Linked DNA regions of Xenopus tropicalis. The protein of the gene in region 2 purifies or fractionates together with the protein of the main gene of each other region. This does not show direct contact. Links are inferred from orthologs where the notes say so. Each region holds a gene or a part of one and is shown on either strand. Other genes may lie near its edges.

The links. The genes of interacting proteins can lie anywhere in the genome.
Region 1: the proteins of ppp6c (region 2) and ppp6r2 purify together in Homo sapiens (affinity purification with mass spectrometry; 9 studies listed by BioGRID and IntAct, counting the BioPlex papers as one, with this or other methods). This does not show direct contact. The link is inferred for Xenopus tropicalis from reciprocal best matches to the Homo sapiens genes PPP6C and PPP6R2.

Annotation. Positions count from the first base shown.
Region 1 is NC_030679.2:89,187,926-89,192,002, reverse strand, and holds the start of ppp6r2 (serine/threonine-protein phosphatase 6 regulatory subunit 2), read right to left. Parts: upstream 2,823-4,077; 5' UTR 2,413-2,822; intron 2,307-2,412; exon of another isoform or gene 2,177-2,306; intron 1-2,176. UniProt on the Homo sapiens protein: Regulatory subunit of protein phosphatase 6 (PP6). May function as a scaffolding PP6 subunit. Involved in the PP6-mediated dephosphorylation of NFKBIE opposing its degradation in response to TNF-alpha.
Region 2 is NC_030684.2:28,164,324-28,166,570, forward strand, and holds part of ppp6c (serine/threonine-protein phosphatase 6 catalytic subunit), read right to left. Parts: intron 2,247-2,247; coding exon 1,998-2,246; 3' UTR 1-1,997.

The DNA of each region.
Region 1 (4,077 bases), on a different chromosome or scaffold from region 2:
TTTAATTCAATATATTTCAGAGACCTGCAATGTTCAGGGGGAAGTATATTTACTTTTCAGCATGAATTCCATGCTGAGCAAACTTTTTGTGCTGAACATACTTTTTGTCTATTGTTTTAATTTAGAATTATGTATGGTTTTTGTTGTTTCTTGAGCTAAACAAGTCAAATAAGGAAACCGAAGCTACACCATATATTTGGTCCCTGAAAGCTAGATAATTAGATTACAAGATGACAGGCAGTCCCCTGCATAATAGATCACTTCTTACCTTTAAACCAAAACAGTCACAACAAAGGGGGAAAGGATGGGGTTGCTCACTGGTAATCTCACAAGACCCAAACAGGACAAAACCCTTGTTTGTCCTGTTTAACTCAAGATATAATAACCATAGATAATGCTTAATTAAAACAAAAGGCAAAAAGTATGTTTAGCCCAGGCCCTAATCCTTTAAATACTGAGATGTTTCTTTATTTGGTTAATTTAGTTTTCAGTAGGTTTTTACGGATTTCTTTTGAAAGAACATACCATGACCCAGTGGCACCTAAATCAAATTCACACCCACTATGGTCAATTTTGTCAGGAGCCAATAAACCTACCCACACATTTTAAATGTGAGGAAATCAGGGAACCCCGAGAAAAAGCATTTTTAAATTTTAATTGTTGCCACAACTCCTTCAGGTATCTTTAAGTAACAAAAAGGGCATTATTTAATTTTTTGCGCACCCAAGGGCAAGTCTAAAAAAGTGGCTTTATAGGGCAGCCTTAGGTCTATATGATAAAAAAAAAATTTAAAACCCAGCCCATCACTGCACAATTGTAGGAAATACACAAAAGGTGCATTCAATAGCAATTACTTTTAAAAATGATTTTAGAACCATTAAAAACATTTAATACATGTATGTTGGGCAACTGCTTAGACTTGTTATTTTTTTCCATTAAAAAATCTGTTTTATGCTTGCATATATGCCGGCTCACAATGTGCGTCAAGTTTAGTCCAGTAGTCCAAAAGAAAATTAACAAACTACATTTTTACAAAAAAAAAAAATTATATTATACACAATATATATACACATATATACACAATTGTATACATGCCTAGTGGACTGTAATTCTTGCTACACTTGCTGTGTCTCTTTTTTTGTAAAAGTGCTTTGTCCTTACAGTTCTTGGGGTATCATAGCCCTTAGAACCCAGAACTATTCAGTGAATATAATGAAAAAAAAAAAGCTATTAAAAGAACAGAAAACTTTACATAACTCATTTACTTGCACAAAACAGTAAATCCAGGTGTTAAACAAGGACTAAAGAACCAATGTCCTATTTGTTCATTGAACTATTGCTGTCCCTTAAAGCTAGATATGCTTGGAGATACCAGAATCGTCTTCCTCTTTTTTTATTCTGCAATGTTTTAGGGTTGCCAAATTCCACTTCTATCACTAAGCAATCTGCAAGGGTTAGCATTAACCTCTATTGGGCCAATATGTGAGTATGGGTAACTGTATTACAGTGGGTGAGGTAGTTTTGGGCAGGAAGGGAGCAGAGATGTTATTGTTCTCTATGTGACAGAATAAATAGATAAACATTAAATGTTTATTTACTGTCTGTGTAACAGGTAACACCCCTGGGTGTAGAATGACCACAATAAATGCCTACTAATTTGACCAGTCAGTCTCTAGTAGGACTAAACCAAAGCTGATCAGGAAAAACAAACAAGCTGTCTGATTTCTTCATTCTACAGGTTGCCAGCTGCAATGGCAGACATATGTATATGATTCTCACTGTATTTATCTGACATTTATCAAGACATTTGTTTCCATGGTGCATGCTACACACATAGAGGCACTGCCATACAAAGCAAAAATCAGAGGCTTAAACACTCACTTAATAAACATGGGCGGGAACATGCAAATAACTTGTTTATGCCCCTATAGCCAACTATGTCTCCATACCAGCTAGATTAAAAGCAAAGATGCCGCCTTATTATGCAGAGCCAAACATCCATACCTACAGAGCCTTATATATGCATCCCAACCAGTCCCTTTTGCATTTACTTATTATGTTAAAAGTGTCGTCCACCTTCATGCACAGAAACCTAAGTGCAAAAAGTCTAAGCGCAGCTAAGTATGCAGAGTGAGTTTCTGTGATAGCCACAATTGTTTTGCTTAGCAGCGCTTACTTTTCTACGCTCCGGGTCGCTGTATGCCAATTGCGGGCGCTGTGAATGTGAAGGGAGAGGCGGAGCCTAATTAGCCGAGCAAGGAAGGTCACGTGTACGGTGTCCATTTTGGGACATCTATGCACCAAATTCAAGTGCTTCCTGCCCTCTCCCCCTTTTAAAAGCCCCGTCTTGATAAACAATTCTTTATTGGCCCCTCCCCTACCGTTGGTAACAGTTATGAGATTGCCTCTTACTTTGTGCTGACGGGTCAAGGCTTCCCCATTCATCCTCCTCCCTGCGATGTCACCCTTTGTCCCTCCTATAGGCGACGTCATCCCTGAGCCCTCCTCAGAACGATGTCATTCCTCGGTCTTCCTCCATCATTCTAAAGGGCTCCAGAATTCTTGCTCCTCCATCCGCCCTGCTTTCCAATTTCACACAGCTCCTCCCTGATTCCTCCCCCTTCCGCCCTGTGTCGTTCTTCATAAACCATTCCCCTTGTAATGCCGTTTCACAATCCCTCCTACTTTATTTTAACATATGCTGTAATTAAAACTATACATTTCAGTCCCACTCTTTTGCTGAGAGAAACGTCCGATTTCCCAAAGCCTCCTCTGATGGTCAGGAAAACGTTGAGCAAGAAGATTCAAGGAGAGTACGTTACAGTACTACGGTGTCCATTTTAGGACGTACATGTGCAAAATGACAGCGCAACTTGCTCCCCATTGAAAATGTCTGTTATTAATACATCTTTGTAGCACCTCCACGGGTCTGCTCTTTCTCTGTTCTCCATTTACCTGAAAAGGTAACCATATATCATAAGATTCGCTCGTTTGGCGAGGTAATTAAACTAGCAGATCTTTCTCCCACCTAAGGGCTAATTAGATCATTTAGCAAAAAATGATTAAGTTATGACAGCTATGGGAGTGAGGACTGTATCAATGAGCTGATGCATTCCTGCCCCAGGGAGGCCAGTTGGGGGCCTTATACACTGGCAGATAAGCTGCAGAATTGGTCTTAAAGGACATATCAAACATATTTTTTTGCCTAATAAAAGAAAACATAATTCTAGGCACCCTGTTTTTAAAGATGCAAATAAAGGTTGTAAGCTTTTAACATCCTATGGTTATCCAGTGTGCGTTAAGCCCCCCACCCCCGAGTTGGACCCTGAATAACTTACGGTATTTAGAATTAGGGGCACTGCTGCCATGAGGCAATTTGAGAATCTCGCCCTAGGTGGCAGCACCTGGTGGGTTTCCAGGGGTGGCTCCTGGTAACTCTTCTAGTGCAGACTGCGCACTCTGCATTAGTGATGTGGCCCCTCCTGACCCCCCTATCCCCATGGTAACAAGTTAAGCATAGGGGGAGCAGAACATACTACCTAACAGTATTCACATTTAAAGGAGAAGGAAAGGCAAAGTCACTTGGGGGTGCAAAAATGTTAGGCACCCCTAAGTGACATTAACGGCTTACCTCGTACCCCGGGCTGGTGCCCCTGTTCGGAAAAAACAGCACCAGCCTGGGGTACCTGTAGTGCAGCGCTTCCTGCTTCCTCTTCCTAAAATGCCAGCGGTCGGCTCTTGCACAGTAGAGTGAAAAGCCGACTTTTCTGTTAAAATTCGGCTTTTCACTCTACTGCGCATGCGCGCACATGGAACCAGGAAGGAGGAAGTGATCGCAGCTACCCCGGGCTGGTGCCGGGGTCTGAACAGGGGTGCCAGCCCGGGGTAAAAGGTAGGTGATTTAAGTCACATGGGGGTGCCTAACATTTTGGCACCCCCAAGTGACTTTGCCTTTATTTCTCCTTTAAGGGTGGTGTACTTTTTAGTTAAGTTTAAGTATATTATAGAATGCCCTAGCAGTAGCCAAAAACTACAAAACTAACTGTAGCCCTGTGAGGCTAAAATGTTATTGTTATT
Region 2 (2,247 bases):
AATTAGATAGGAAACTAGCGTTCAGCCAATAATAACCAGGAAGAAAAATTGATTCTTTTGATATTTCATAAAGGTAAGTAATCTTTGCAATCACTGATCTATTTTTATTACTTGGATTTTCTTTTTACTAAAACATTTTTGAAAATCATTTTTATTAGTTCAGTTTTGAAGCTACAGACCAGGACAGCACTGCTAACACAGGCTTTTCCCATCTGCCACCTGCTCTCAGTAAGGGATTTCCCAGATCAGGACTTGGAAGGCAAATAAAAAAAAGTTGACACTGAACTGGTTTGTGCACAAGCCTTCCCTCTGCTGCTTCACTTGCATATTGTGATACAATCAGCTGGTGAGATTCAGCCAATCGGATCAATGTAATGCAAATGAAGCAGCAGAGGGAAGGCATGGGGGGTAACCAGCTCAGTGTCAACTTCCTGGTTTGGGCAGAATGCAAGCTGGAGTTGCTGATCCCTTCATAAGACAACTGAGAGAGCAGAGGAGAGAGCCTGTCAGCAGCACTGATCCTTGTCTGTAGCTTTAAAACTAAGCATTTTAAATAATAAAGATTTATTTTTTCTGACAGGGGTTTTTCAGATTCAGACTTTTGTCCAGTCACTAGTGGTAGTAATCTCACCAACCAAAAAGATGACTAATTGGGGAGCCTGTTTACTTTAAAATAAACTTTATACCCCCGCCCTTAAAACTGCTTGCTTTTCCAATGTTTTGTTCAAACAAATGCCTGATTGGTAGGGTTTCAGTCTCACAACCAGTTTGAATTACAAACTCAAATCAAATAAAAACATTCTGTGTATGTAATAATTTGATCAAACTATGTACCAAAAATGTAAAATCTGCAAACAAGATAATTGGTTTTCACCAGTTATATAATAAATATTGAATGGCACTCAATACAATGTAAGAATGAAGCATTGCAAGTTGAACTCTGATAAACTAAAGTTTAAAAGTAGATTTGTATGATGGGATTTTTCTGACTATTCTGGACTCATTGACTTTTATAGTTTTCTCTCATTTCAAAGAGTAACACACTGAACATTTGGAAATTTCCTCTAAACAAAGCTGTTGTGTAACTATAGGGGCAGGCATAGACCGGCAACATGGCAAATGCCATAAACAGTCCCTATGTATTGGACTGGTAAGGGGGCGGTTTGGGCCTCTGTGTAATTTAAAATAATATTCCGAATTCCAGTCCAGACCTGAATAAGGGGTAGATAAACTCTGTAAAACAATCTGTTATCTGCTATAAAACCTGTTCCTTTTCTACTTTATTCAAGATTGCATGGCTGCCCCCGTGGCCTACACAGCAGCTTATTTATATTAATACATTTTTTGGTGTTACTCTTCTTCCTTTAAAATTGCATGTGCCATTGCCCTAATGATATCAGTGTGCAGCTGATCTAATGATAACCGCAATCGTAAACACTTTAATGCCATACTATAAACCAAAGCCAGCCAGCCACAGATGGGCCAATAAAAGCTGATGATTCATCCCTACAGTCAAAATCTTGAGATCGCTAGTAAATCAGCCAAATATCTATCATGCAGGTTTGAAAATACTGTTGGGTGAGGATAGTATAAGAGTGTTCATGCCATCACCTCCAGACAGCTCTGCCTAGTCCCAGATCAGATGCATTTTGGCCCTGCACATAGGTGTCAAACAAGTAATTCTACTTGTGTATGGGCATCCTAAATTATTCTTATTTTTACTGCCAGAATATTTATCCCCTCCATAAACGCAGAGTATTTTTTTCACCTTTGTTGTCGATTATCTCCATTTATTAGGAGAAACCCTTCTGGCAACAAACGGGGCCTGTAATGCAAGGACCTCTAAACAAAGAAACAATAGCGATATAAACAGAATATATATTCTATAATTTAAAAAGAAAAAAAAGGCAAGATGCAGCATTTCAGCAGCAAAGTGCTTAAAATAAAATGAAAAAAAAAGAAGAAATCCAGCACAGTACACAAAAAGTGGATGGACTTCAGAGGAAGTACGGTGTGGTGGTTCTGGGAGGGATAACCCGCTCAGAGTCAGGAACAGCTCGAAAGAGTTTTGGCTCTCGGGTGTTCACATCCTTGAAAACCATAATAGAGGCGATGTTGCCACAACGGTAGCAGTAGTTAGGAGCTGACCACACAGTCACAAGCTTCTCATCAAACATGAATTTGTAGCCCTCATGCACTAACTGGTGCGCTCTGCAAATCAGCTTCAGATTGTTGATATGAACGAAC